Mus musculus: one gene and its partner. The protein of the gene in region 1 interacts with the protein of each later gene in a pairwise test. Links are inferred from orthologs where the notes say so. Each region holds a gene or a part of one and is shown in the gene's direction. Other genes may lie near its edges. The genes, in order: Arhgef7 and Sh2d1a.

The links.
Region 2: the proteins of Arhgef7 (region 1) and Sh2d1a interact in binary tests that used the Homo sapiens proteins (3 or more experiments, as listed by UniProt). The link is inferred for Mus musculus from reciprocal best matches to the Homo sapiens genes ARHGEF7 and SH2D1A.

Annotation. Positions count from the first base shown.
Region 1 is NC_000074.6:11,827,388-11,843,023, forward strand, and holds the end of Arhgef7 (rho guanine nucleotide exchange factor 7), read left to right. Parts: intron 1-4,105; coding exon 4,106-4,205; intron 4,206-4,507; coding exon 4,508-4,562; intron 4,563-5,582; coding exon 5,583-5,705; 3' UTR 5,706-7,832; downstream 7,833-15,636. UniProt on the Homo sapiens protein: Acts as a RAC1 guanine nucleotide exchange factor (GEF) and can induce membrane ruffling. Functions in cell migration, attachment and cell spreading. Promotes targeting of RAC1 to focal adhesions. May function as a positive regulator of apoptosis.
Region 2 is NC_000086.7:42,495,042-42,511,502, forward strand, and holds the start of Sh2d1a (SH2 domain-containing protein 1A), read left to right. Parts: upstream 1-7,523; 5' UTR 7,524-7,681; coding exon 7,682-7,818; intron 7,819-9,778; exon of another isoform or gene 9,779-9,851; coding exon of another isoform or gene 9,852-9,853; intron 9,854-10,280; exon of another isoform or gene 10,281-10,304; coding exon of another isoform or gene 10,305-10,306; intron 10,307-12,683; coding exon of another isoform or gene 12,684-12,737; intron 12,738-16,461.

The DNA of each region.
Region 1 (15,636 bases):
CAAAGGTGTGTCCCCAGGTCCAGCTGCTTTTTTCCTGTTTCCTGTCACTGAAAGGCTTGTCCTCAGAAGCTGCGTCCCTTCCTCACAGTGAAAAGAAGCTCAGTTTTTAAGTCCTTCATTTGGACCAGGGCCAGCATTTCCCTTCCGTTTTGCAAATTGCACTCCTAATTCAGAAGAAAAAGCCCTTCGTAGTGACAGCCCTTCCTTTTTCTAGGTTGGAAAACCAATCCAAACCCCAGAGCCATAGCTAGTGTAGCCTGTGAGCCTTGGATGCTCCTGAAGAGATCTTCTAAGTGTAATGCTATGTTTTGTTCTGAAAGTAGGATCAGCTGTGTTTAAATGATGCAGGAGCATGTCCCGAGTGTGCCAGGCCACTGGCCAGGTGGGCTGATGCTCATTTGTGACAGACTTAGCTACTGCTTTGGGTAGGCAAACACATACCTGTGTGTGCCCACATCCTTTTTTTACATACACAGGGTGTGACAGTTACAGAGTTGGACAGATGACTTAGCTATCGCTGAGTCCTAGCTGTATGTCATCCCGTGGTCCCTGACACGAGGAAGGAGTCTGGGGTGATCCTTGGCTCTAACAGCCTCCGTGGATCTGTGTTTCTCACCCGAGACCCACAGCCTGTTGGCCTTTGACAATGCAGGGCAGGATACTACTAGAGACTACTAGTGTTTGACTCTTGTGTTTCTGTTGGTGTGGACATGTTCTCTGTCTTGAATCACATCTGTGAGTGGGTGTTGCCATAGGACCTGGAGCCTGTAGGCGTCCCCAGCAAAGAATGACCTTGTAAAATTTTCATGCAGGACTTGAAGTTGGTGAGACACATCTGTAGGTTTGTTCTTGGAGAGTCTGCATGAGAAGTGCCAGGTTGGGCTGATCGCAAACTGTTCTGTCTGACGCGTGTGTCTTTTTCTCTACTTGCACATGGAGGGCATAATGGTGGGTGAGGGCAGACTGATAGTTTTTATTGGGGCTGTGAGGCCACCTGGCACTTCTCATGCTGTTACCCATAAACACCATAAGTGACACTGATGCTGAGATTTAAGAAGTCCAATGTTTAGATGAGGAGCTTTGGATAGACTGAATTATAATAAAAGGAGTCCTTTTTTATTGCTTTACCCAAACCTGTAGTGTTCTAGAAGTGCGCTGTGAGCCTCCAGGAAAGGTCTGCATGCAGTGTTTCAGGCAAGCAACAGCAGATCCTGACGCCATCGCCCCAGGGACCACAGTGTGTAAGACAGCTCTGCACTGCGCTGCAGAGCCTTCACAGTGTGCTGCTGTGCCAGCTCCTGTGATGGGGCACCATGTAAAGTGCTAGCACATTCTCTGGTCCTGTGGTTACATGCTTTTTTCCAACCTAGGTATTCAAGAAAACTGTGCTCTGATGCCACTAAGCACAGCAATGTCTCAGTTACAGTGTTGAGTATGTATTTTAGAAAACTGCTGTCCTTAAGATACCACTAACTTACAAACTGGCTTGCTATACTTCATTGTTTTGTTGAAAGGCGGCTACACGTTTTAAAAAATCATTTTAGAAATGCATGCTGTGTTGAAAGATGGGTGGCTTATGGTGACCTGACGGGTGTCTGCCTGCTGTACAGATGAGCAGTCTGCGTTACATGCCCGTCACCCACTATCAGGCTCAACAGCAGTTCCCTCTGCCTGTCTCAGAGCTGGAGCAGTTATACCTTCAACCCAGAGCACAGTCTTAGACTTTGATTGAGGTCTTGGTGCCCTGTGCACAGAGCAGTTTCATGTCCAGGACCCTGTCATGTGTTTTCAAACTGACAGCTGCCATGAAGTTTAGTCCCTTAGATCTATTGCGTTACTTACTGGAGCTCATAGCTTTTATTTAGGACTACGTTTAGTAAGAGATGGTTAACTGAAAGGTCAACCTTCATTCAGCAAAGTGTCCTTGGTAAGTGTAGAGCAGCCCTCAGTCTCTTACAGAGTCTGAAAGCTTTAATGCTGGAAACAGATTTTCCAGCGAGAAAAGACTGGAAGAGCTGAGAGGAAGTGCGCGGACCGCACTGCTCTGGTATGGTGACGAGGCCTCGCCGGGCCTCACCCGCCGGGCCTTCTCAAGCCCATAGTAAGTTTAATGACAGGGTGGTCACCAAGACTAACAGAGTCATCAGCACTCAGCCCAAGCATACTACTTGGCTGCAGGGTAACAGCGGGAAGCCTGGAGAGCCATCCCAAGTGCTCTTTCCTGGATCCCCTTCTTCCCCCAGGAGCTGGGGTCCAGCATCGCAGACGCCTGCACTTCTCTGGTCCTCACTTTTGGGCACTTTCAGAATGCATTAGCTTCCTCTAAAGACACCTGCCCTCCTGTGGGAGGCATGCGTAAACATGCTTTCTTTGTGTGACCTGTGTCCCTCAGTGCTCAATAGGAAACGAGCCTCAGAGTGGCTCCTGCTAAATCAAAGAGGCTGTCCAGGAAGGACATCTGCCTGTCACTTGCACCCTCCTGGGGGTGGGGGTTGACACTGTCAGCCTGCTGCTGGTTTTTAAAATATGTCCCTCCCTAGGACTATATGTTAAAGCCTACCATCTCCAGGACTTGAGACACAGAGAGAAAGATAGGTGGTGTGTCCTCACTAGAGCACGTAGCTGCAACCCCTCCAGGGTGGGGTGGCTATCATTTGGGATAGTCTTTCACAAAGAGTATACTCCGAGCATATTAGGATGTTGACAACCTACTCACATGGGAGTCAAGGCTGGACTACCTCACCATATACAGGGCCTCCTTTTACTGACAAAATTGTGCTCTGTGACATAGGCCTGGCAGGCCTGGCTTGATGGCCACTCCTGAACTCCCCAAGGTGTTTCCAGTCTCTGTCATTCTGGCCTTGATTGAGTACCTTCCAGTGCAATAGGCTTGGCAGATACACAGAGTCTTCCAGGCCCCATAGTTAGCCTGATGTACAGCTATATGTCCCTACATGCCAGGGACATTTCATAAGCTTAGACAGCAGTGGGCTCACCTCAGTGCATTCAGAGCACAGGTTCGGGTTAAATTGCATGAAAAGCTGCTCTTCACAGTTTTCTCTCTCAAACACCATTCTAGGGTTTCCATGCCAACGAGGGTGCACAAGAAGTGCTCCTTAAAATCTGATATGCTTTCAGAAAGACAGACAAAGGGCACCCCAGAAACACAAAAGCAAATTAACCCCTTGTGCACAGTCATCTTGCCTCGTGTCACATGCTTTTCCTCAAGAGCTGTGACAGCACAGCCCTCGGCAGGCATCTGTATTCACACAGAGCCCGTCCTTCAGCAGGCGTCCATATTCATGCAGAGCCCGTCCTTCCTCCAGTGCGGACCTGGTGGTGGTGCGCAAAAACAATGAGAATAATCAGTCACATGGCGTAATTCTTCCTGGTACCCATCCTTTCAAGGCCAGTGTCTGCAGCACATTGTGCGTCCGACACATGAGGTGGTTACCAGCCAACGTCTGTGCCAGGACCATGTGCCTGTTCCCGCTGCCATTGGAAGCTGTGTGTCTCAAGGGGCTGAGAATGCTTTCATCTGGTGATCAGTCAGTAAACCGCACCTCTCCTAAACCATTGTGTTACAGTGCTACAGGGTTTTAAAAGCCATTACTACTGTACAGCTTTTTCTTGACGCTTTAGCTGTGACTCTTAGCCCTTCACACTGAGCTACCACTCCAGCTCTGAAACTTTTTTTCAATTGCCAGACTTTTTTCATTTATAAGCACAAGAATTATGCATTCTTTCCCGGTCTGGACTTTCCAGCGTTGCTGCTCCGCTATAATGGTTTAAACCTCGATTGTGTGTTGAGTGCAGTGTGGACAGACCTTTAGCGTACTTGCTGTTAGCTAGCGATTAACGTACTTAAGAGAGTTTAATAATTCGCAAAAGAGGCGATTTTTACTTAGTTTGCCTAGTTTGCCTTTGCTGTTTCCTTTGCTCTGTAGTGTTTTGGTTGGCCACACTCAGCAGACAGCTGGAGGAAAGTGGTGAAAGGTCTTCCTGCGCAATCACTGGTGCTGTGTGATAAGTGACTGTAGTGAAGTAGGTGTCCTTTCCTGCCCTCAGGTGGCACTCACGTGGGCCTTCTCTTTCTAATGACCAGGTTCACGCAAAGAATCTGCTCCACAAGTGTTGCTTCCAGAAGAAGAAAAAATTATAGTCGAAGAAACCAAGAGCAATGGGCAGACAGTGATAGAGGAAAAGTAAGATGCTTTTCTCTTCCATTATGGCTGGCTCCCCACCCCCACCCCACTCCATCTCAGGCAGATAGTGATAGAAAATAAATAAGATGGTTTTCTATTCTGTTCTGGCTGGCTCCCCCACCATCCCATGGGTGGCACGATCTCTAAAGTCTGCCGGAGGCTGGGGTGCAGCCCCTCAGATGGGTGACAGTCTAAGCTTGGGGTTAGCTTGAGGAACCTAGGGGGGCTCCACCCTGGAGGCTCTGCCCGTCTGTGTTGTGTCTCTTTGGCCTTTCCTGTGCTTACTCGCTCTCCTGTTCCAGGAGCCTCGTGGATACGGTGTATGCGTTAAAGGATGAAGTCCAGGAGTTAAGACAGGTACGCCAGCCAGTTTTTACTTTTAATTAGTTTTTTTTTTTTTTTAAATGGGAGAAAAAGGGAAATACTGTTTTAAACGTGAAGCTCATTGTATACTGAAAGGAAACCACAAAGTCAACACCGTTTCTCAGATAGGAGTGACTGGCAAGGGCTGGAGAGATGGTATAGCGGCTAAAAGGTCCAAGTTCAGCTTACACATCCACATGGAAGCCTATCTGTTAACTCCAGTCCTGGGGTATCTAATGCTGCCTTTTGGCCTCTGTGGGTAATGCATACACATTGTACACAGACATACATGCAGGAAAAACACCCCGTGTATAAAACAGTATACACACACACACATGCATGTCTAAAAAAGAATAAATTATCATTTTAAAACACAAGAGTGAGAGGCAGGAGATGCCTGCCTGTGCAGCACAGCTGTTTGGGTGCGAGCGGCCCGTCTTTTGCCTAACTTCTAAGTAGTGCTTTATTACTTTGTGTTTGATGTGGGGTGGGGCACATGGCATGGCACATGTGGAGTGGGTTCTCTACTTGTATGTGGGTTCTGAGAATCAAATTCTGGATGTCAGACTTGCCCTGCAAGCCCCTTCACCTGCTTGAGCCGTTGTAGGATGTGTATATTCAGTGCTTTGGAGGGACAGGGCAGCAGTGTCCTGAGGGTGAGGTAACTGGACATACTTGGCAGTGCCTGTCTCCCCTTCTCGTGTTTGGGGCAGTATGCTTTTCTCCCTTCCTGATATGTCTCGTTCAGTAGCTATTGCTTCTGTTCTGTGTTTGACTGGACAGGGGAATTACAAATGCTAGCAGTGGGTCTGTAGACATTGTCCCTGTTCCTCTTACCAGCCCCTTCCTTCGGGCACGTTTCATGCGTGTAAGTAGGAGACTGCCATTACTCTCCAGAGTACATTCACGACTCAGCTCGGTTGGCCGGCCCCTCCCAACCTGGGCTACCGAAGGATTCAGCTAAGATGAAGGATGCCGAGGTAGTGAACCTGCTGTTGTCTGCTTGCCTTACAGGATAACAAGAAGATGAAGAAGTCCTTAGAGGAGGAACAGAGGGCCCGCAAGGACTTAGAGAAGCTGGTGAGGAAGGTTCTAAAGAATATGAACGACCCTGCCTGGGATGAGACCAATCTATAGGCTGACTTCATTCTCATAGGCTGAAGAGCAGCAGTTCCTGGACATGGCTGGGGCCCTTGGCTTCCAGCACAGTGACATTTAGGACTAAGGAAGGTGGTCTCCATCAGGCGAGCAGCAGCAATGAGGCTGTTGCTGAAGTAGCTACATGTGAGTTATAGACACTGAGGTCTGGGCTGAGTGTGCACATATCTGCCACTTCTCCATGCAGTGACTGACCAGAGTCCTTTGGCTTCTGGACTTGAGTTGAATCTATAAATAGCATACCTGTGTACTCCTTGTAAATACTGGGATCTGAGCACCTACCTGAGATGGGACTGGGCTAACCCTCCTGCTAGGATTTCCTTCTCAGCCTTTCTGGCCACAGGGATCTGAAGTTGTGTTTGTGAAGTGTTGGAAGCAGAAAGGTGAAGAGATGCCGTGGCAGCTGTCTGACTCGTGTGTAGCGCAGGCTCCATGGTGCCATCGGGAACAGGCACTCGGGCACAGTGAATTTGTGTGTCTCTGTTCTTAACTGCAGTATTCCAGTCTCGGCTATGGCTGTGCCCAGGGCATCATGGGTTCTAGGGAGGGAAACTGTTACCTGCCTGTGGTGCCCGCCTCTGCTGCCCTGCCCTGTCCTGTCTGGGCCTTGGTCACAGTGTGCAGAAGTGGGTTAGCCCTGTACATAGATGTGTTATTTATTCCATACTCTCTAGCCGGTGCTGCCGGCCGGGCAGGGTTTGGCTGCAGGCTGTTTTCATCCAGGAGCTCTGCTCTGCCTCTGGCCGCAGTCAGCGTTGTCCAGGCCACTGAAAGCCCTCCTAACCCTCTGAGCGAGAATAAAGCAATACAAACCCCAAGTGGAGCAGCACAGCGAGAGCCCTCAAGTGCTGTGCCTGCGCCCTACTCTGCTGCCTCCCCAGGCCAGGCCCAGGCAGGCCCTGGAAGGCTGGTGGCCTGGGCAAGCGGCCCTGCTTCTGTTAGGCCATGCTTGCCCCTGGTTTGGCAACAGTTAACAGTGACCTCAGGAGCTTAGCTGTCCCTTCTTTCCTCCAAAGAGGTTGTTTTCAAGTCAGAGATACTTTCCCTTAGAAAGGTGTTTTGTCTTTAAACACTGAAGAGCAATGTGTGCTACTGGGGCCTCAGCACAGCCTCTTTCCCTAGGACGTGACCCAGCCCCCGCCCACCCACCCACCTGTGGAGGTTTCTGCGTGGGCACTTAGAGGCCGTTTGTGCTCTCTCCTTCTGCCACACTCTAGCTGGTTGCAGTGTCTATGGGTTGTGTCTGTCAGGATCCACCAGAGCCTCCCACCCCTGTTAGCATTTACAGCTCAGTGTGCGGGGTGAGAAAAGCTGAGCTGTTCCTTTCCTTTTGGTAAGCCCTGTTTTCCAAGCACTCTGCTGACCCAGAAGACACTGCAGCAAAAGGCAGTGTGTTTGCTGTCACAGCAGGTCTCAACTCAGGAACAACACTCCTTGCAACTCCACTGCTGGCACAGGGGCCTGGGGTTGCTGGGCAGCCCCTCCATCAACAGGAAGCAAAGACCATGTTCGCCAGTGTCCTTGCCACCGCCGAGGTTGCCGTCCGTGCCCCAGGACAATTCCTTTCAGACCTGCCTTAATGATTCGCTTGGAGTGTTCCATGAGTATTCATGTTCCCAGCATCCCTACCCTGGACAGGGTGGTTAGGCTGTCAGCACGCCGCCTTGTCTCTCTGAGGATCCAGTGTCTTCCAGGCTCTCCAGGGAGCGAGAATCTGCACCCAAGAGCAGTTCTTTTTAAAACCGGCCCTGGTGTACACACCCACTTCTCTCTCCTGCGTGTCTGCGCGGGGAGCTTTGATACCAACAGCACAGGGCGCCTCTCACCAACTCCTAAGTCCTCTGTGTTCTGTAAGGGATGCGGGGGAATCAAGCCATTTCCTGTCGTGTAGATGTGAAGCACTTTCCGTTCTGAACCATGCTGCGGTGTAGCAGCGTCCGAAACTCCACTGTTCTCCTCCAGCTGCTGCCCATGCGCCCTGTGCACTTCATGCCAACCCCCACTTTCCTGGGACACGACAGGAGACCGCACCGGGGTCGACTGCTCAGTGTGTGTGTGCTACACCCTTGCAATTATTAAACTCCTTATTTTTCTTATCTCACAAAACGTGTTGCTTCATCTTCCTTGAGACGGTCTCCATGTGCATGTCTTGGCTTATCAGGTTTGAAATCCTGATGTGTTCAATGCAGGGAAATACTGTTGAAATCTGGGAGCATTTAAGGATGGTAAGAGTGGGAAACAGAAGTTCTAGGAGTAGTTTCTCTCCCGAATTTCACCCTCCTCCCACTCCCATTAAATTGGAATAACAACTGCTGGTAAGATGTGGGCCATTTTCTGGATTAAAACAAAAGGCAGTGCTCTGAAGGAATCTGGGATCTCTACAAAAGAAAATTACTGCTGCTGTTCAATCAGCTCTGCCTGGTCAGGAGCTGGTCCCGAGTCCCGTTAGGAAGTTCGTACCAGATTTCAGAGACACGGCAGTAGCAGGCCTTCCTAGGTTTGAGACAGACAGACAGACAGACACACACACACACACACACACACACACACACACACACCTTTGTGCCTCAATGCTTTATGGACTGCAGCATCTTCTACCAGATTGCTCTTTGGTCATCCAGAGCTCCTGCAAGCAGTGGATACAGATGTAGGCCAAACACCCACCCCACGCGCGGGGGTTGAGGTGGACCTCAGCCCAAGCCCAGTGAGTCAGGAGCGTGAGCTGGCTTTGGGGCACGCAGCTCTTGCAGTGAGAGTGCCCTGTCTGGAAGGGCTCTAAGGCAGTGCAGGACTCGGCTCTGGCGGACGGTGCTGTCGGTTGCCAGGGCAGCCATGTGAAAGGGTACCTGGGCTGCCATGCTGTGGGCTACACAGGCACTGTGATTTGTCCCTATCTGGCTCCCGTCCGTACCTGGGCAGTTCTCACAGATTGGTCACCAAGTGCAGCACTCATCCCTCTAAGGGAAAAGGCAGCTGTGGGTCTGCAGTCAGTCCTTGCACGGCCTCTCAAGCCTCAGGCCTCAAAAGCACACGGGCGTTTCTTAGGGTTGGCATAGACAGGCTGTTCTCTCCAGCCCCCAGGGCCAGATTCTAACGTGGTTTGGGGAATCTCAGTAGCAAAGTTGGGGGCTCCAGAAGAGCATACACCAAGTAAATGGGCTGGAAGCTTAGTGGAAATCATTAATGTAGTGTTCCCATGGCCTGCAGGTTTCTCAGAGCCATAGACCCTGCTCTGTACCTAGTCTTCCCTGTCAGGTCATGGAGGGTAAGTGGCTTACAAGACAGAGCTGCTGCTCAGCACAACCACAGTGTCTGGAAGCTTGTGAGTCTGGTGATGCGGAATGGCAGGCAGGACATGAGGCTTCTCGGACCCTCAGTCCCACTCAACTTCAGTGTGTGCTGTGAAGGAGCTGCTACCTTCACAGCCAGGGCCTGCTGCTTTCCCACCCACCCCTCCTATCCCCCATTCCTGTCCCCTCCTGTCCTACCTGCCCCATCCCTGACTGCCCCACGGGCTTCCTGCTGCTCGCTGTCCGCTCCTGATGGCAGCCAGCTGGTGAGCTGATAAGAAGCAGGACAGCCACTCAGACCATTGCTCTCCAGGCAGGGTGGCTCGGACTGTCCCTGGAGGACAGGAGCTTGGGTTGCAGTGTAGACCTGTCTAAGGGTCACTGTGTGTGTCCCAGCCCAGGTCCAGGGGTGTTGAAAGCCATGGCCAGCACTCCTATCCTGGTCCCCAAGTGCGGGGAGCCTTTGGCTTCCTGTGTGGATGTGCCCTTTTGTTTTTATTAGTGTTTTATGAGACCATGGCTCTCACACTGGTATTTTCGTTGTGTCTTCACCCTCTTCCTCCAACTGCCAGTCTTCTCCCCAAATCATCTCTCCTCTGACTTTTGTTTTTCTTCTTAGATTTATTTATTTATTATATGTAAGTACACTGTAGCTGTTTTCAGACACCCCAGAAGAGGGCATCAGATCTCATTATAGATGGTTGTGAGCCAACATGGGGTTGCTGGGATTTGAACTCAGGACCTCCAGAAGAGCAGTCGGTGCTGAGCCATCTCTCCAGCCCCTCTCCTGTGTCTTGATATAACTAATGTGTGTACACACAGGTAACCTTGGTTGCACATGTGAGAGGAAAAAACAGCCTGTTTGTCTCTTGGGGTCCTGTCCACTAACATGCTAGTCTCCAGCGTCTTCCTGCCAGTGACATAGCTGCTCCTTTATGGCTGTGCAGACATGGCATGTTGTCTTCCTTCCTTCCTCTGCTAAGGACACCTAGATTGGTTCCTTCACTTTGTTACTGTGGATCATACAGCAGGGAACACAGATGAGCAACTTACACTCCAGTTATGTCTTACCTGCTCAGAGAACTCAAAATGGATCAAACACTTTTAACATCTTATATTCTGAGATGCAGGTGGAGTGCCATCCTTTCTGGACAGGACTCAGACAGCTCTGGACGCCAGTATCCATAGCGTGCGACAGAGACGCTTCTGCACAGCAGCCCCCGATTGTTACATACTCTGAATCTGCCTGAATTCCCCACTTCCTTGCCCCCAACCTGGCTTTTCTCATTTCTCAGTGTGTCCGTCCATCCGTCTGTCTGCATTTCCTATTCTGGCTGGTTCCCAGCACCTGACCCTGAAGCAACACTGGGAACCTCTGTTCCCGAGAATCCCTGGTCTCAACTCTGCCCCAGCCCATCCTCATGTCCTTTCGTCCCTTCCCCCTGCCCTTGCCACTCCCCACCTCTGTCATCGACAGTAGCGGTCGATTGCTTTGTGGAAATTCCCAATAATATAGTTGGGGCCTGCTGTTGCTACCTCCCAGAAGGGACCTGTGGGTGAGGGGCAGGCTAGCTGGTGCATCATTCTCTTCTAAAAGCATTTCCTTTTTAGCTTTTCTTTCAGGGTGCTGTTGGGGAAGGTTTGCACTGGCCTGTGTTGTGGCCAGTCACAGGCCAGGCCTCAAGGTACCTTTAACAGAATTCACCCCCTTAGGCACTCCTTAAATGGGGACAGTTCTCTGCTCTAAGTTACTTTCTGCTGTTTTGGAAATCCTGAGGGCAGGTGTGTAGAAGGGAGGCCCTGTAATGGCTAGGTAAGCATCAAGCAGGTGCACTGCTTAACATAGCTGTGGTCTGGACACTCCCTCATCTTCTGGGAACTGTTGGGGTCACAGGAGACATAAGTATCAGCTCCCATCACACGAAACAAATCGGAGTGACCAGGAACAGTTGCACGGACACCCACAGTCACAAATCAAATGACATTCACACTTTAATACCTTTAGTGATACCCTGGTGGGGGCATGCACGGAGCAACAGGGGAGTTTCATAGTAGGTTTCAGATGCTATGAAATTACATCCTTAGCTCTTGGCTGTGTGGATGCTAATGGTATATTGATACATTTTAACAGGCTTCACCTGTTAAGGTAAATGTTAGGTCTAACCCAGAAGTAGGGTGATGAATGGCTGTTGCAGGGCTAAGGCCAACTCTGGATTGTTTGGATGTAGAGCTGTATCATTCCAGCTCTTCACTGCTCTAACCAGGCCCTCGGCTTTGCAGATTGTGTAACGGATATGTGGTTGGTTGTCTTCTGGGGCTTAGGGCTTACTGTCAACAGGTAGCACACTAGTGACCACGGAAAGGCGAGCTTCTCTGACTAGAAGAGGGGTCTCATTCACCACTGACCCAGTGTCCGCCTGGGAAGTGAAGGCAGAAAGAGGGTGCACAGGTCACAGAAACCCCACTGGAACACTCACCGCTGCCAACGATAGTGTTTGTGTAAAAAATATAAACGTGTGTTCGAAACCATGGTGCAAGATAGAATATTTGTCTAGAGATCAGTTTTCAATAGGCCAGGAGCAAGATAGTCGATTTTTATTAATAACGAAAAGTATTAAATAGAAATAAAGTGAAAGATGAAGACCTTTAGATCGGAGGGTGTTGAAGCCATGGCGGTTGAAACAGATGACAGTGGGAATGGTTGAGGTCCCAGAGTACGAGGGTGCTGACTTCTCACCTGTCTCCTGCCATGCTTAGGAAGCCCTGGACTTGTTTGTTTCTGTTCTACATCTCAAAGAAGTTCTGCAGATTGTGAGGGGGTGGAAATTAGCAAGACTGTGTAAGAACCTTGTGAAGATGTTAATACTGGTCAATACTGGCATCAAGGGGTCTCCATCAAAGGGCAGACACGGGAGACGACCCAGACCTGGTCTGAGTAATGACTCAAAGGTGCTCTGTGGGCCCAGTTTCTTGGTTCTGGCCGTGGCACTGTGGGCTGGGAGCATGCACACACCTTCCCTCGGAACTCACTGGGGACCTGAGCCCTGGGCTGTTTGGGACCTGGGTCCCTGCCTCTGCCGAGCCCAGGTGTTCCTGCAGCTCAGTTCTGCCCTGTGGCAGGGTTCTGCTCTTGGCGGATTGGAAAAACTGAGAGCAAGGGAGCCTTGCTAGGCAGTCCCTGGTTTCCCCACCCTCCACATGCAAGACAGCGGCCAGTTCCTCCACACCTGGCTGTGCTTGCTGCCTCAGTGATGGCTGATAAACAGCTTCACCCCAGGGAGCAGTAGCTCCCAGGATAATTAATTTCCTTCATATTATGCAGCCACCAGCTTTTATTTCTGTAAAAGTTGCCATGTTTGCAAGAGCTGCTTCTTATACACATCCTCTTGGTTATTAAATGCCAACCACATTTGTTTACAAATAAAACCAAGTTAATGAAATACTGCATCTACATTAGCAAGAGCTGAGAGCACTGCGGCCTCCGCAGGCTCCAGAGCCTTGTGCTGGCCTTCAGTGGTGTACCTCAGGGAGGGTCCCCACAGAGCATTGCAGTTAGAAAGGGGACCATCTCCAGCAGCTCACTTCCCAGCCCTGACCTACTTGGGATTCTTGCAACACCTGGAAAATACTGAAACATATGGCAGTTTCCAGCAAGGAGCAAAAGGAAGGTTGTCACTGTCACAGCCCCCTTCCAAGGGCATGCTTGCACTGTGATAAGCAGAAGGGGCCCACTCTGAGGATGGAGGCATAGGACTCACAGGGCCTTGTTCCTTCTCCTGTGGATAGAGGGGACCTTGTTTTGTTCATGGTTGCACCCTAGTAGTGTTTGCGAAAACACTCCCAGAAAACAAAAGTCACATGGCGAAATTTAAATATATGATCCTGCTCCCAAGCTCACCACGCTTTCAGGAAGGAGCAACTTGGATTCTAACTTGAGGCTTCAGAACAGTACCTTACACAGGGGAGATTTCCCCAGCCCATTAGTGTGCTTGGCCCCCTCTCTCCATACCCAGTCCATAGAATGAGGTGCTGTGTAACCCTTTTATGACCTTGAGCTTCAAAATGATGTCACAATAAGCAGGGACTGGTTTCCTTCTGTCCACCCTGACCTCCAGCTACTTGTGAGCCGTAGACAAGAAGCTGAGGTAGCCAGTTCGTGGCTTAACCAAAACATTGTTCCTTCTTAGAGGCTACCAGAGAGGCAGTGCACAGACCTCAGTTCTGGAACTGATGGACAGGTTGGTGACTACCCCTCCACCCTGAGGCCAGGAGAAGCCCTCAAAGTTTGGCCTGTTAATTCTCTAGTACCCGTACAAAACGCCCCAAAGATGGCCACACTGCCACCCTGTGCTGAGGTGTCCTGACTGACCTGTCTTCAGGTGTGAATACTCGGAGGTCCCTGTGTGCTGAGGTGGCCTAAGCTATCTTTTAAGTGTACAACTCCTGTACTCCCTGTGCTGAGGTTTCCTGTCTTCCAGGCATATTTGATCCCTGTATCCCCCGCCAGCTGCTACCATGAAAGACACCAAAGAAATCAAGAGGTCCCCACCACATCTCCTGAAGAAGTTTGCAGGTAACATGGAAGAGACTCTTGGGGCTGTTTGCATGGAGAGTTTGGCTGTCGTGCCGTCTGGCTTATCTGATCAAGGAAAGCAGGGACGTGTGTTTCCAGGTTACCCCATGGAGCCACCTTGAGATCTCTGAGTCTTGAGCCATTACAGAGCAGCCCCTTGGGATTTCTCACACTAGCTCAAGAAACAACAGGGAGTCCCAGGGCTTTTGGTTGGTTATACTCTTCAGTCACTTTAAAGCTCTCATCTCTCGGAAGTGGCTTTTATAGAATACGTTCTTTTTTACAACAAGGAGCACGCTTCTCCTCCCCACTAGGTATGTAAGCAGGCATTAGACACTTGACCCTGGGTGTGGAAGTCGTGCAAAAATATGATTTTCTCAAAGGCACGTTGACTGTGCATGGTATAATTGCATTTACTTTAAGTCAGGCAGGAAAACCTTCTAGAATTGCGTGCTTCGCAGGAGGAGCCTCAGACCACTGGGGACTGTCACCTTCCCTCCCAAATCTCACTGTTTGAAACTTCCTTTTTTTTCTCTCCTCAATGGTGCATGTATTTATGCATTGCTATTATGCCATATGACATGGAGAAGCAGAGAAGAAATGTGTTCATCTTTTGTTTGTCTCCCTTGGAAGGCAGGCCAGGCGTGTTTCTATGGGATTCCCTGAAAGAAAGCCAACTTCTCCCTCGAGGCTGGGAGTGGGAGGGGAGGCTCAGCCACGGTGGGGTTGGGGAGGCATTAGGTCATGCTGGGGCCAGACACCTCCACAGGCCAAAGACTCTTAAAAGGACCGATTGCGATATCTGATTCAGAACAAGGAAGCCATGCCGGAGATGTAGGCAGACTGGAGCCACAGAGAGCAGCAGAAACTACTGGGCCAAATCAGAGCGGCTGCTCTGTATGTTTGGCTGGGATCCAGTGGCTCTGTCGTCTCCCACTGGGAGAGCAGTAGCTATAACAAAGGGTGGAAAAACTCTGTCCTTAAGGTCCTTGTGTGCAGCCTCTTGGTCTCCATCTACAGCTAGGAGCCCTGGGGAACTGTCTTCATGGGGTGGGATCAGTACCTACCTACCTCTGCAAGAGGTTCCTGGGAGCTGTTGGACACTGGCCCTGAAAACCTAAGCTTGGAGCTGGGACACCCCACTGCAGGTTTCAGGGGGCAGCTGAGAGGAGACCACAGGATACAGGTAAGCTGTGTCTTGGGGCAGGAGGCTGTTTTAGGGGTGCATAACGTATCTAGGGACTGTTGAGCTGTAGCCCTGGGGCATGAAATGATCCCCGCTTGGTGTCCAGATTTCCTGGTGTTCCCAAGCTGTGGACCTATGCTTTGCCTCCACGGTAAATGACAGGGACCACACTCCTATTGTTCCTTTGAGCCTCAAAGGCTTGTTGGGAAAATGTAGAGAGGTGAAGCTATGTTTTCTTTCTACAGTGTTGGGATTTTTTGGATAACAATGCATTCACATTTCAACAGCTTTGTTGGCAGACTTGGTCTGGCACATTCACTTTCTCAGCCAACTGAGCACAGGTTCTTAAAGTTCAGTTGTAACTATTAATATCAGTCTTCAGATCACACATCACACAGTAAAACACCTCTGTGAATATATTATATGATATGTTAATATTTATTATATATAACATTAATTTTATTAATTATACAATAAATTATATATAAATAATAAATATATTAATATAACATACATTAATATATACTGATTATATATGTGTACATATATGTGTGTAAGATATATATACAAACAGAGGGGGGCAACACAGGGCTACACAGGGCTCAGGAGAGTTCAAGGACTTCCAAAGAGGGACAAGAGCAGAATCTGGGGCTGCTGATAGAGATACAGAGGCTTGGGGTCGGGATAGAGTTGAGCTACAGCAGCAGAGTTGAGCTGCGGGCACAAGGTATGGTGGAGACTGGAACAGCGAAAGGTGACACTGAACGGTGCACTGACAACTGAGATGACATCATCGGTCGGCACCCAACCGAGACAAAGCCCCTGAGACCGCTGGGAGTTCTCTGTTGGTCCAGATGCACA
Region 2 (16,461 bases), on another chromosome or scaffold:
TGCTTTGAGTTTCTGTCCTGACTGTTGATAAGCTATTATATGGAAGTATGAGTTAGATAAACATCAGAACACACATAGCCAACTTTAAAATAGTTTTTAATATTTTATGAGTGTCAGTGCACATGCATGTGGATGCCCTTGGAGGCAAGAATAAGGAGACAGTTCCCTGGAGCTGAAGGTACACATGGTACTGAGCCACCTGACATGGGTGCTAGAAACCAAACTTGAGTCCTCTGGAAAAAAAGCAAATGTTATTAACTGCTGAGCCACCTCTCTAGGATCCATTACCTGATTTTTTTTCCTTTTATGTTTATTGTATGCAGGAAGTATGTATATATGCATATATACATGTTTGTGTATGTGCAGGTATACGTGTTTAGATGAGTATGTGTGCATGTATGTGTGTGTACAGGAGTTTGACACTAGGTGTTTTCATTGACTGTTCTTCATAGACAGGGTCTTTCTCTGAACTGGAAGTTTGCAGATTCTAAACTAATAGAATAGGTGTCAAACTCCTGCAAGGTGCTTGAGGATTCCCTGCTTCAATTGCCACATGGATAATAGGTGGTCACTAGACCCATTGGTCTTTTATGTGGCTTTTGGAGATCAGAATTCTTTTCCTCATACTCGAGGTAAGCATTTTTACCTACTGAACTACCTTTTCAAGCTATTATAGAATACTCAAGCTATTGAACTCTTTGCTGAAAAAAAGATGCCAGGATTTTTCCAAGAAATATCACTGAGAAGAAAGAGAAAAAGAATGTAAATGTTGCATATGTAAATACTACTATTTGCCATTGAGAAATCTGCCATTAGCTGTTTTGTTTACAGGGCTACAATATTTGATTTGTACCTAAAAAATGTATATAGTCTATTTCATTCCTTTGCCAACTTTTGATATCTGTGATATCAAAGTGATAATTCATGTTTTTAAAAATAACTTTTAGTTTTTGTTTCATCAGATTTCCATTCTGAAAATTCCTATATCATTAGATTTATTTCTATTATTTAAAACAATTTTAAATTTAAATATATTTTGATCATATTCTTCTCATCCTCCAAAGTTTGCTGTGGTGATTTGAATACTTGGCACTGTTAGGGGGTGTGGCCTTGTTGGAGTAAGTATGGTCTTGTTGGAAAAAGTATGTCACTGTAAGGGTGGGCTTTGAGACCCTTTTCCTAGCTTTCTCGAAGTCAGTCTGCTTTCAGATAAAGATGTAGAACTCTCAGTTCTTCCTGCACCATGCCTGCCTAGATGCTGCCATGCTTCCTGCCTTGGCAATAATGGACTAAACCTCTGATCCTGTAAGCCAGCCCCAATTAAATATTGTCCTCATAAGAGTTGCCTTGGTCATGGTGTCTGTTCACAGCAGTAAAAACCTAAGACTTTCATCCAGATCATTTTCTGTATCCTACCCACTTGACTTTAAGATCTTTCAAAAAACAAAACAAAACAAAACAAAACAAAACAAAAAAACCTAGTCAAAAAATGCACGACAACAGCAAAATACCCAAAATATAGAAAACAAAATACAACATTACCCCCAAAACAAAGAAATAAACAACAAACACAAAAACACCCCACCAAACTGTAACTAAATAAAAGTACACACAAAAAACTGTGGAGTCTGTTATTTGTTAGTCAACAACACCTGAACATGAGGCCTGCCCTGGAGTGGTTAATATACCTAGTGTCACTCTATTGGAGAAAACTGATTGTCCCTTCTCAGCAGGTGTAAGTGACAGTTTTGTTGTTAACCTTTACACTAGTGACAAGGTTTACATTCATTCGTTTTTGTTTGTTTGTTTGTAAAATATAATAAACTAAAATATAAGATAAAATAAAAAACTATCACATTGAAATTGGACAATATAAACCAACAGAAGGAAAAGAACCCAAAAGAAGGTATGAGATCCACTCATTTACAGGAACCCAACAAAAACAACAAACTGGAAGCCATAATATTAGTGCAGAGAACCTGGTACAGACCAGTGCAGGCCCTGTGCTTGGTGCTTCAGTCTCTGTGCATTTGTATGTGTGTGTGTGTGTGTGTGTGTGTGTGTGTGTGTCCTTTTGGTTCAGAGGCCTTGCTCTCTTCGTGTCCTCCATCCCCTGTGGCTCTTACACTCTTTCTTCTTCCTCTTCCAGGAAGATTATCTGAGCTTTGAGGGGAAGGATTTGTAGAATTGAATTTAGCAATGAGGGTTGCAAGACCTTTACTCTCTGAGTAATGTCTCTATATTTGTTCCAATCTGTTGCTGGAGGAAGCTTCTCTGATGATGGCTGAGAAAGGCACTGATCTGCTTCCCTGGCTGGAGTCGATAATTCATGTTCTAAAATATCAGAGGATTTTAAAAAATGTTCAGGCAAAAATATATAAACAAAATAACATAGCATTACTTTGCACTTTAATCCAGTTTGAGCTCTGATGGTGAAAATGTTATATTTTCAGAGAGAGAGAAAGAGAGAGACAGACAGAGAGAGACAGACAGACAGAGAGACAGACAGACAGAGAGGGGGAGGGGAAGAAGGGAGAGAGAGAGACAGAGAGAGAAAGGGAGAGAGAGAGGGAGGGGAGGGGAGGGAGGGAGAGAGAGAGAGAGAGAGAGAGAGAGAGAGAGAGAGAGAGAGAGAGAGAGAACAGCTTTTCAGATGGGAATTTATTTAGAGTCTCATCTTTTTAAAGATACCTCATCTGGAAATAAAGGGTGCAGAAAGATGACTTGGTTACTATCTGAAAGTAACTGGGATAATGAAGCCAAAAGGACACAGGAAGACTTATTTATAAGTAGCTAAGGAGAGGTGTGTAAAGAGTTGTTTCTGCCAACGAGGATGAGGCAGACCACTTGATAAACATTGGTAAATGACTGTGTAAAAGAAATCAATGAAAAAAATGTTACAGCCTTGGAATCAAATTGGAAACTGCACTCTGTAGGAGGTTCTCTCTCTATAGGGAAGGAAAGAATAATGTTGAGCAGATGTCAGGTACTGTGTTTGGATATGTATGCCCTAAGAGGAATATGGCATCATCCATGTCTCCCAGGGTTTCACAAGCTCAGAGCAAAAAGCTCTTGAGCATCTGTTAGGTTCTAGAAAAGTAGAATATGCTATCTTGTTTATACTCACAGAGGAAACTAAGATAAACGTGCCTACGACTTGCCTTCGTTCATCTAGAAAAGAAGAATTGAGCAATAAGACTTTGTCTGTGTAGCAATTTCTGACTTGTGTAGAAGACACCTAGAATATTTATTTCCAATTTTTAAGAAATAAGTTTTCTATGGTTTCTGAGGCTAGGTCTACATTTCTGGGCTCAATAAATTCTCCCAAATTTGCTGGACTACAGGCATGTGCCATTAAACCTGGCTAGATCACTTTAGGAACAGATTATTCTCAGAGTACTGTTATTTTTGGATAGATGGATGGATAAATGATAATCCATATTTTGGACCTGAGAACCTGAACAACAAACCATCCAAGCAAGGTCTTTCCTAGGCATACTATCAAATAAAGCGAAGCTCAAAAAACCATGCCATTTCAGCTAGAACTAAGTTTCTTTGAATTTAAGATGGAGGTGAAAAATCAGGCAAACTAGAGTAAGTAACTATACACAGTAGACATAAAGATAAAAGACATTGTCACATTAAGTACGTTTTATATGTTCAGAATAAAAATAGCACAAAATGTAGTATTGCTGTGCTGTGAGAATTCCACCCTCTCCTCTATCATAGCTTGTATTAGTTACTTTTGTAGTGTTGTGACACAGTCCTTGCCGTAAGAAATTTGTATCAGGAATAATTTGTCTTATGTTTCTAGAGGACTAAGTGAGGTGCAGCATCATGGCAAAGAAGGCGGGAGGAGGAGCACTGATTTGCCAGTGGTGTCTGGGAGGGGGGAGTGGGATGGTGAGGAAGAGAGGTGGGGAGGAAAGGGAAGGCTGGGAGGGAGAGAGGGAGAGAATCTGGGACTTGGAATTAGCTGCCCCTTTCAGAAGCATATGCTCAGTGAGTTACTTCCTCCAGGTACGGTCCACATCTTAACATTTCTATCCCATCCCAAAATAATGCCACCAGGTGGGCTCTAAGCATTCAACACAAGAACTGGAATCTAATTGTCTGTTTGCATCCTGCTATGAGCTGCTTGAGAACAGGTATGAACTATGGTTTTCTTCTTTCTAACTTAAGTTCCAACTATTGGATCTGACATACAATAGAAGTTTATTAGCAGCTGGAAGAATAATACATATATTTAACAGGTTTAAACAAATACCCACAGCAACCTTGTGTCTGCTTTCTCTCTTTGAAGAGGGCATTTAGGAAAACATATAGCTTTATAAATAAACTCAGGTGTTATTGAAAAGAGGTTCTCTCTCTCTCTCTCTCTCTCTCTCTCTCTCTCTCTCTCTCTCTCTAAGACTATTTTTTCTTACTTTTGTAAAGGAAGTAAATCTAAGTGCCAAGAGTATGTGTAAACTCACCACATCATAACATGGCCACAGGAGAATTCACACATTTTAGAGAAGCTGGTAGAAGAACAAAGGTAGTTTTGAAAGGTTAGAGAACAAGATTCTGAAATGTCCTATGTACTATACAAAACTGACCACCCTTGGCATCTTTCTTTTAATCTACTTGGGCTCCAGAATAGCCTAGGGCATTTGGAATACAGACAATTAGCACCTCAGACAGGGTATCCACGTGCTAAATCCTGTCACTGTTCAGAGATCTCAGGAGGAGACAAGTTTAGACAAGAAGACCCTTTAAACCTTGCCTGACAGGTTTTCTAGCTTTCAATGTTTTGGTGTTGGACTTGAATGGCATCTATATTCAGAACGTTTTCTTTAAAATATAAGGCACTCTTCCTCTATGATAGTTTTTATTTCTGAGATTATTTTAAAAACAATGAGAACAAATGCCTCCTCCTGTTGAGACTTCAGGATCTTGCTTCTTCCTCAAAAAATGAGCTACCCCTGTGTTTTTCTCCAAAGAAGCTTGCTTGCTTGCTTGCTTGCTTGCTTCATTCATTCATTCATTCATTTATTCATTCACTTATAGCACAGAATGTTGAAGCTGAAAATGACTACTCAGGGTTCACCTGGCTCAATTCCATTTGACAGATGGAGAAAATAAGGCTCAGAGAGAGGAAACCATTTAGTGATAAAAGGTGGAGTACAATTTGGACCTCAAAATACCTTCCAATTCTCATCGCTGTTTCTAAGGGGAGCCAAAGGAATGGAAAAGCACTCTCTCTCTCTCTCTCTCTCTCTCTCTCTTTCTCTCTCTCTCTCTCTGTGTGTGTGTGTGTGTGTCAGAGAGAGAGAGAGACAGAGATAGACAGAGACAGTCAGAGACCGACAGAGAGACAGACAGATAGACATTGAGAGTCAGAGAAAGAGACAGACAGACAAGGGGGAGAGATAATTTCATATTGTTTTCTTGACAATTTTAATTTCAGACATTTATTCATTCACTAAACCCATCCACTCTGTGCCAGTCTCTGAGGATACAGTGGCAAACAACATATATAAGACCCTGTTGATATGCACCTTAAGGTCAAGTGATAGAGACAGGCAACATACAAGTAGATTCTTCCTCTCATAAATGGGGCCCATTCCTTAGCTCTTTGTCTGTTGGTGTCACTGTTATCTCCCCTTCTCTGTTATGTGATCTTTGTCTTCCTGTACTGTGGGTACAGGGACAGGGAAGGAAGAAAGCTATTTCAGTTCCTCTATTCTCTACACTTCAAGCTCTGTGTGAAGTTTGAATTTGCCAAAGTCAAGCTTAGTGCCTGCATAGCAGCAGAGCAAGGGTGTCAGTATTTTTCATCAACACTGCACTGGTGGGCTGGCTCACCTGTCAGTTTGCTTGTGAGATGACAATAAGGTAGTGGATGTGAGAGTTGTACTATTACCGTATAATTTAACTGTTCTCTTGTGATGTGATTTTCGTTGTGCTGAAGCCCACTGTACCTGGCTGCTTTGACAAGCGTGCTATTTTAGCAATGCAGAATGAAACAGAAAGAAAAGAATGCATGGGATGCTTGCTCCGTCAGATCCAGGTTTCTCTGTGCCTGTGTTTGTAGATGATTTGTTCAGGGTTGTTCAGAGACAAAAAAAATGAGGTTAGGTTTTGTTTTTAACCTATGGAACACTGAATGTTCTAGCAGTTACACTCTAGGTGGGCTACTGTCCGTATGCCTTAATAAAAGAAGATTACCCCTTTCTTTCTTTTCATATTTAAAATGCCATCATTATAACTGATTTCTAAATAGAGTCCTGGTTAGGCTAAACTCTGATGTTTTTAACATTGATGTAGGTAGGCATTTATGTATGAGAATAGAAGTTACAACACATTTATCAACACCTGTGCGATGATGTAAAATGGATTTTATATCCACAATGATTCTGGCCTAGCCCCATATGCCAAAGGGTATATAGAAGTTCACACAGGACACCAATGGACAGACCAAACTGGACAGAAAAAGCCCACAAACCAGCAGCTCTACAGGAAGAACTACAGACAGCTGAGTAAAATCGGAAGTAGAAGAAGTGGTCACCCGTGGGAAGAGCACACTAATTGGTCGTCTACTACCAAATGGCTATCCCTGAAAACATACATACAAATAGCACCATACAGGCACAACTGGATGTGTTTAGGAATTACACGTATATACATATATGCATGCAATAATACAATAATACAATAGCAATGTTGTTGAAGAGCAGGGAGGGATTCATGGGAGGGTTTCAAGGGTGAAAAGGGAAGGGAGAAATGCTGTGATTATATTGTGATTTTAATAATAATAAAAACAAAGAAGTACCAACAAAAGAATTTAGTCTTCTTAAGCTCCTTAGCTAGATCCATCTACACTTTTTTTTTTTTAATATGATGACAATTTTTTTCATAGTTTTGGATTTTGGACAAAACATTAAGGTAAAAATACTTGTTTTGGCCTAAGTGTATTCAAGGATTTGGCATATGGCTTCGGGATAGAAGACCTCATCTGCGAGGCCCCGAATTCCATCATCAGCATTGAAGAAAAGAAAGCTGTTTCAGGACCATCTAGTCCCAAAGTCTGTAGTTCAGTAGCCCTTGGTGATGCTGTGGAAGCCTTGCAGCCATGTTCTGCTGTGGTTTTGTAGCTTGACTGCTTTTATGCTTTTATTTTGTCAGTCTGCTTCTGCCCCTCATGATGAACACGTCCCATTCACTTCTATCACCAATTCTTTTGTTCACTCGTTAAGACAAGTCATTGTCAATGGCTTCGAAGTTTGCAGGAACTACACAAGAACAAAGGCACTAGCAAGTTTCTCATCTTTGTGCAAGCTCTGTTTGCGTTGCTGGCACAGCTCAAATACTGCAAGTGTTCACCTTTTCAGCGTGCCCCCTCCCCCACCACAAACCTTTGTTGGAGAATAGATGATCAAACCCATGACAAGTTTGAAGCTGTTAAACTGCTGAGCTGGCCTGAATTGAAGTGTGAGAAGAGGTTTTAAGGCAGGTAGACAACATCCTGTTGTTAGGGTGTTTCTCTCTCTCTCTCTCTCTCTCTCTCTCTCTCTCTCTCTCTCTCTCTCTCTCTCTCTCTCTCTCAATACTGCCCAGTAAGCCACTGCAGCGGCAACAGCAGCAGCAAAGTTTCCTTTTTACCATCCTTCTTCTGGGCCCATCAAAGAGTTTGCTAGGCATGGATGCAGTGACTGTGTACCACGGCAAAATCAGCAGGGAGACCGGGGAGAAGCTCTTACTCGCTACCGGGCTGGATGGAAGCTATCTGCTGCGAGACAGCGAGAGTGTCCCTGGCGTGTACTGCCTGTGTGTTTTGTGAGTATATCTCGTGGTAGTGGCAGGTTGTTAGCATGGGTAGCCTGCCCTTTCAGGGGAGGGCTGGGAGGAGTGGCAGGGGATGACAGCTTTTGGCAGAGGTACCTAGGGAATACAGGCAGCAGGAACTGAGTACTCTTCCAGCTCTGACGTATGGTCCCAGGGCTCAGCCCAGGGATGTGGTGGGCAGTACTTGTACGTACGTCCCTCACTGCGGATTTTATCAACTGCATTTCACCAGTGCGTTTGTGGCAGCTTCACTGAATACCCTTCAGAATGGGAAAACATGGCCTAGAACTTACCTTTACTTTGAGAAAGACCCATACTCTGGACTTCGGCTCTGATTCCAAGTAGACACCATGATGGTGGAGCCCCGGGAAGTTGGACTATTTGTATTCTGGGCCATGAAGTAAGGCAAAGGAAGGTCTTTCTCTATCATTCTCTACAAATGTGACTGAAAATGGTACCCTAAAAGAAAAGCATCTAGCAAATGCTTGAAGAAGTGGTTAGCCAGGAAATGGAATCCATTGCTTTCAGAATGCAGCCCAGGGAAGGCAGAGGTAGACAGATGTGTGTGAGTTTCAGGTGACTAGCCTGGTTTTACATGGGCCGGTTCCATGCCAGCTAGGGCTACATAGTATAAGATCCTATTAAAAAACAGTAGCCAACAACACTAAAGCAGTACAGTGCTGAAGAGGATGTGTATGCAAGAGTAGGGGCACCTTTCTGGTGCTGCTGAATTGCCTTGTTTTATAAGAGGCATAATGAGTTTTAAAACGTGCTGTGTCCCGTAAATGATAGGAGTGAGAATAGTTTTAAAGAACAGAGAGAGGGAGAAAACATCATTGTAATTATCCCACTTTGAGCTTTGCCTAGACTGGTCTCAGCCTCTTACTCCATTTTGAACCAGGTGCAGCTGCATCTTGGCTCTGTACAACCTCCCTGAGCAAATCCTACTGTAGTCAGACTCAAAAGGTTGTTATCTCACAACACCAATCTCTTAGCCATTGATTTTAAATGGGATTCATATTCTAAGGGTCAATGAAGATTAAATACCTCCATGTACAAAAAAAAAAAAGACAAATGAACACTGGGCTTGACGCTCAGCAAATGGAAGTCTGGTTTATTATTAGTCTCTTTTTGGACAAATTATTCCGGTACTCCTTGAGGCAGTCTACAGAAGGACCCAGTTCAAGCACTACTGTAAGCAGGATATATATATATATATATATACATATATATATATATATATACACACACATATACACACACATAATACACACATACATACACACACACATATATATATATATACACACACACACACACACACATATATACTGTATGCTTATACATATATCCCAGTAAAACCTCACTCTAATACAGTAGAGTCTACATGAAAGCAAAACAAAAATGCTTGGTAGTGAGTTCTGTACATGATGATACACTGCAAAAATTTGACGTACTCTCTGGGCCAGAAAATAAAGATTAAATTGAGGCTGGTGTGAGAGGATTGTCATTGTATATTGATTTTTTTAAAAAAATGTCCAAGCCTTATTTTTGTCAGTTTTTAAGATCATGCTAAATACATTTATCATAAAGGCTTCAAGGTAAATATATGGAAAAATCATTTTTCAGTGTTGGGGACAGGATCCAGAATTTTATATGTGCCTGAAAAATGCTTTTTTATTAAGCTAGATGCCCAACCCTGGGCTTGGACCTTTATGTTCCCAAGTGGAACCCTAAGAAGGGCTAGGGAAGCCAATGACAATCCTTAGTTATTTTTAACTTGTCAAAAGATGAAGGATGGTGAGTGAGACGGGCTGCTTTGGGCACACTGATAATAGAAGGAGCATGCTCCTTAACCAGAAGGTTCACATGAAGCCTATATAGGGGAGAGAGGGCTGGAGACAGTACAGCTCACACTTGAATTTTTCTTCCCACCTGGTCACCCCGGAAGGTAACTAAGCCTGCTCCCTACTCAGGATTGTCCAGTTTCTGTTCAACATTGCATCTCTTGATCATTCCCACAAATGTAAGTGCCCTCTCTGGGTTGCTATCCCATTTCTTCTATTCAAGGAACTTTAAACATGCTAATATAAGTTTGTTTACTTATATATGGGCTCTACCACGAAACTACCTTCACAAAGGAGCAAACATTGCCTCTACCAGGACTATATCCTGGTACATAATAGGCACTCAGCAAACAGTTTGGAATTCGACTAACTGTTCAGGCATATGCTCTTCACTATGAAGGGCATCTGGCTGCCAAGAAGCCAGGGTGGGGGCTCTAGGAAGTCATTCAAATTCTCTGGGGCTTCACCTTACATCCGTGTAAAATAGAAACCTGTTGTTTCCTCTGTTATAAAAGATGGCTGTAAGTGAAATCTTGAAGAGAAGGAACCTTAGTATTTTGGTATGTAGGCCGGAACCATGTAAGGAAATTCTCAGCCTTCTGGTTTTCACTCACCGGGGATGCTGTATAAATGTAAGATGCTTGTTTGTTTGTTTTTTGTTGTTGTTACTGTTGACTAACTTCTCTTTGAAAACCTCTCCCTATGAAAATAGAGAAGTGGAGAATTCTCCTCCAGTCTTTAAAATGATGGTCTGTTGTTTTCAAGGTTATGGCCAGACAACTGTGGAAGGAATGCTTTTCTTGCCTTTGATAAGTGCTTCAGGGTTTTGTTTTGTTTGTTTTGTTTTGTTTTGTTTTGTTTTGTTTTGTTTTGAGCTGAGTGCCCCTTTTGCTACACACAAACATTTTATTCTCTCTTATTGGCACTACATGGTACGTGCAACATGTTATTTGGATCCTAATCTACATTCCTTACTCAAAATACTGATTTGTAGGATTTAGAGTAGAAAAAAAAATCATATATGCTTGAAAAAAACCCACAATAGTGTCTGTTTAATCAGTACCACCTTATTTTATGTTTTGTTTATTCTCATTAACCACGAAGGTTTTTGTAAACTTCAATTTACTCTATTTTTATTGTATGGTTCAAACTATGCTTAGAATTGTATTTTCAAACCATATGTGCCTCTTTCCCAGATTAAATCTCAGTCACACGGGACCTTTTTCCTGTTAGGTTTTCGAAAATAGAATGTTTCAAATATTGTAAAAGTCTTCCATTTCTAGGACTGCTACTTTCATTTAAAACAAGAAGCCTTTCTTCCAGTTGTTTACTCTAAATAAAATTAGAATTAAAAGAGCCCATCAAAATAGTCTTTTATACTCATTTGGGATATAGACTTTGAAAACAATGGAATTTATGGAAAAAATTATCTATAATATTATGACTTAAAGACAACTACTATTAAGTTTTAAACAACGTTTCTTTTACACAATAAAATGAATATTTTTGAACATGTACATCTTTCATTACATTTTGCTGCAATTTCCACTTAGTATGAAAAAAGCTGACTCATGCAATATTTTCACAAATAAATTCAAAGCATTATCTTATAAGAGCTGTATGTTAGTTCAGCTAAGTTGTAAATGAACCATATTTTTCTAGACCATATTTTTCTCTTATTTTACTGTTTGTTGACTAATTCTGTTCTTGTATGACTTCATACATATACATCAGCCTCTTATTTTGACAACTGAATCATTCAATACTTTAAATTATAAATTCTACATATAAATGATCACAATATATCTTTGCCCAAAGGAGTACTATAGTTTATATGTGTACTTTCCTTTACCAATGAGTATTCTTGTTAAAAATAGTTCCCTTTGAAATTTGATATCTTAGCTTTTGTTAGTGGCACTAAATGTTTTCTATGTGGTTATTTGCATACTTATATCACTTGATGATTTGAATCTTATTGCTTTACACCACACACACACACACACACACACACACACACACACACACACACACACACAGATACACGGACACATCTTAATGTGTTGTAGATATCCTTTATCAGTTTGGTGTTTGTTATTTAATACTTTTAGTATTAAAATGAATCACACAGCTTCTTCATGCTTGATTTTTTTCCCTTTGCATCTCAGCTTAGAAAATCTTTTCTCCTCCCTAGATACATAAAACTTGACTCTTTTGTTTTAAATATATGGTTTTATTAATTTATATTCTACTCTTTAATTCCATTTGAATTTTACTTCTATGTGCATAAAAGATCTAATTTGATTTGTTTCTAAGTGGTTTTCAACTGTCCAACATAGTTTACTAAATAGAATTTCCACTTTTTATTTGTTGGGCTACTTTACCAAAACCTAAAAGAACTGAATAGTCAAAATATGGTTTTTGTTCTTTGACTATTTGGTTCAATTGATCTATTTGTACTTGCATTAATTGAATTAGTGTGCCATACTTTTCAAACGTACTTAAAATTTATTAGGTACCCTTGTCTACTGGTTCTTTGTGACAAAGTCTAAAATAATTCTGTTAAATTAGATTAAATTAACATCAATAATAAATTAAGGAAAAACTATAATCTTTAGATAACTAACTCTTTTCAAAGAGACAGTGTAAGATTTTACTCCTTTCTTTTCTTCTGGGTATATCATGTTTCTTTTATTGAGGTACATATTATACCCTTACAAGTTTTCACTTTTCACTCTAAGATAAATAGCCACTTCCCTGGATTGGCTCACAAGAGAAAAACGAATTAAAATATTTTAAAAATAAGCTTGAAAAATACCATATGTCCACAATTAACATCTCTCTGACTTTATGCTTCTCTGATTTAAGATTTGGCAGAGGAAATGCATTTATAATTCTTTAGCCTCGAAGACACAGAATGACGCCATTGTCCTATATGGCTTTGGATAAGAGAGTTCTCTTTCTGGCCTTTTTTGAGGAATGAAATTGACGATTACATTTCTCCACCGACAGTGTGCATAGCGCCTTCCAGCACTATGGATTAGCCTATGTAGATGAAGCTTCCAGGTCTGTATCAGCTTGGGTTTGTTGTGTTCTATGCTTCAAGTGTGTGGTGTCTTCAGCAATAAGGTCTTCCTGTCAAGTTCTGGAGGGTAATCAAGAACACTGGCAATGACCTGTAATGGTGGTCTATGGGACCTCATTGGCCAAAAATTCAAAAAGTCATGATCCACTCCTGGTACTAGGAACTTTATTTGCTAGTGTGTGATATTTAGTGGCTGCCCTTTTGTAGAGTAACTCCACTTTAATAATTATATAGATGTGTACATTTATTAATTTTAGTAAACATCTACATTAGTAGGTTTACCTTTTTGAGAGAGTTTTACTGTTATTTATCTTTCCCCTTATTCTGTCTTCTGGTCTGCCTTCCCACCACCACCCCAATTTAACCCTTCCTGTTCTAGTATTCCCTTTTCACTCTTTTTTAAGTCTTGCATACTTTTGCATGCCATCTCTTTGTCCCTGAAAGCAGCCACCTATGGTCCCTGATCTCTATGGGCGTTCACACATATCTCAAGACAAAAAGCTAACAACAACAAATTGGAGAGCATACATGATATTTGTATCCAGTTCCATCCATGGTTGTGAGCCACCATGTTGTTGTTGGGAATTGAATTCAGGACCTCTGGAAATGGTCTTAACCTGTGAGCCATTTCTCCAGCCCTTGTAACTCTGCCTGTTATCTAGTAAATTTTACCTTGGCTAGGTTCCTCCATTTTCTTTAGCCATGGATTGCCACCACCAAGTGGTGGTGGGAAGAATGTAGTTTTACATTAGTCTGTATATTGAATGACTTTAGCTTGTACTGGAAATTCATATCCACTCCAAAAGAATAAAGTTTGGAAAACAGAAAATTAGAAACCTCTTGAAGGAGAATACAGTTTTAATAATGAAGACTTTGTATGCATGTGGCAGTTACTATGGATGTAATATATTTGCTCAAAATTTAGTTACAGCAGGTACAGTGACTCCTGCTTGCAATCTCAGCACTTAGTAGGTGAGGTCTGAGTACCTCCATGAGTGTGAAGTCAGTCCCATCTGTAGAATGAGTTCTCACAAAGCACAAGAAGTCCCTCAAAATCCGGCCCATAATCCTGTCTTCCAAATGTTGTATATATCTGTAAATATTTTGTTTAGATATATTGTGTAAAGGAGACTATAGGAATTAGCTTGCATTATTTGCACTGAGAATATAGAAGTCAGATGTACTTACAGTTTTTCCTTTGAGAAGTCCTTTAGTGGGCATCCAGAAAGTTTGTGTGGGTTTGTTGGTTTGAAGCAAAGTCCTACCTACCATACTGACTCACTGAGAAATTAAGAAACAAACTGAGCGGCTTTGTACCTGCCCATTGCCAGTCTGAACACCTTTGAAAAGCAGCTTTAGGTGAAATAAAGTCAAATTTTAGAATCAGCAATAAATAAGACACACTTTTGGTATGTGTTACTTACGAAAATAAATTAACAGCAGCAATTTAAACACTACACTGTTTTAAATTCTAAATGCTGCGCTTATGATCAATTTCAAAAAGCATCTCAGTGGGAGAAGGAAGTGAAAATTGATCCAGTTCTTGATTTGTCTATATTCACAGAGGAAGTCAGAAGCATGTAGCAATTTTAAAAAATGAATTACATTTTTTAAAAAATTTGTGATTAACAAAGGCACAGCATTCACAGCTTCTGTCAATTCAGTATTTTTAGATTCTATTCGTAACTGTGATCTTGTACTATTTGTCTTTCTGTGCCTGTATTATTTCATTTAACATAATATCTGCCATTTAGGTTCATCCCTACTGTCAAAAATAGATAACATTTTCGTTAAGTTTGAATGGTATTCAATTACATGCATATTTCAGGTTTTGTTTTAAATCATTAATAATTAGCACATATTGTACAAAATGAGTTTATTATACTATTTTCTTACATGTAGAATATATTTTGAACATATTTGCCCCATAAACCATTTTGTCTTCCCTTCTTCTGGTCTTTTTTTCTCAGTTAGTTCATTTCTGTGTCTTTGTTTGTTTGTCTTAAAATCGAGATTCCCTCATATGAGGTGCAGCATGTCTAGATCACACGTTCTTCATCCATCATTCATCCGGTCTTGTACACTAATGTTGATTTCTTATCTTTTCTATTGTAAATGGTGTTACACTGAACAGGGGAGCACTGACTCTTCAACATAATGATCTCATTTGGATACACGTCCAGTCATTCTATTGCTGAGTCATACCTTTTTAATTTTTTTTTTTTTATTTTGTGAGGAACCACCTTCCTGTTTTCCATAATCACTTTACTAATTTGCATTCCCACTAGTAGTGTACATGTGTTCTCTTTCTCCACACCCTTACAATACTCACCTTTCATATTTTTGGTGAGAGTCACTTGAACAGGTGTGGTTTCAATTTGCATTTCTCTAATGATGAATGATGCTGAATTTTTTTCATACTTTTTTTTGGTCCATTTTGTATATATTTTTTGTGAAAAATCTGTACAGGTCCTTTGCCCATTTTTCAATCAATTTGTTTTCTTACTGAGTTTTTCCAAATCTTTGATATTTTGGATCCTAAGGCTTATCAAGTTAATGGGTTGCAAATGCCTTTTCCCATTCAGCAGGTATGCTTCTAACTCTGCTGACTAGTTCCCTGCCTGTGAATGATTATTTTATTTTGATGTAATTTTTTTGTTTGTTTGTTTTTTCGGGACAGGGTTTCTCTGTGATGTCCTGGCTGTCCTGGAACTCACTCTGTAGACCAGGCTGGCCTCGAACTCAGTAATCTGCCTGTCTCTGCCTCCCCAGTGCTGGGATTAAGGTGTGCGCCACCACGCCCGGCTTGATGTAATTTTTATTTCTACTTTAAATCACACACATTTTTGAGAGAATATCTAAAAACTATTCTCTTAGTCTGAGTAATGTTTACTTGTTCGGAGTAGTTAGGTTAATTTTACTTTACTATTAAAAACATATTATTTTGTTTTGACTTATTTCCTTGGAGTGTATGATAATAAGCAAGGTTATTTGGTCAAGATATGTATGGTTTTATGGCTTTTATTAACACTTATTCCTTTTTCCTATAACAGTGATTTCCTACAGACAGAGCATATATGTGGTTTTAAAAAGCATATAATATGGTTAAAAGTATTTGATGCTCTTCCAGAGGATCTGAGTTTGGTTCTAAGCATCCATATCAGGTGCCTCACAAATGCCATGATCTTAGGGATGCAATCTGAATTGTTCTGCTTTAGATCTCTCCCATTCATGACATATTATTATGAATATCATCTATGGAGGATAATTGATTAGTAAGTTATATGACTGAAAACAGAAGTCACACACTTCTGGTTTATTTGAGAGAAAAGTTTGTTCATTCAGAATTCAAGGCCTTGGGGTGGGGAAATTGTTAATATCAGATACCTTAATCATGAGAAAATGTATGTGCCATTGACATCAGCTTGTTTGGAGACTGAAGAAGGTAAGAGCTTTTGAAGTGGTACTCAGGTTCCTGCTGTTTAACCGAAAGTGAGATAAGATCAGATTCGTTAGGAGACAATTTTCAAAACATACTCATTTATTTTGACTAAATGAAGCTGAATGATGGTAAAGAAGCATATCCATTGTGTATTTTAGGGGCCCATTTCTTTAGAATCTGGAAGAGAGCTTGCTTACCATTTTGCTTAAATTATTGAGTTTTTACTTTGTGTGGTTTTGCATGTACACATGCATATGGGTATA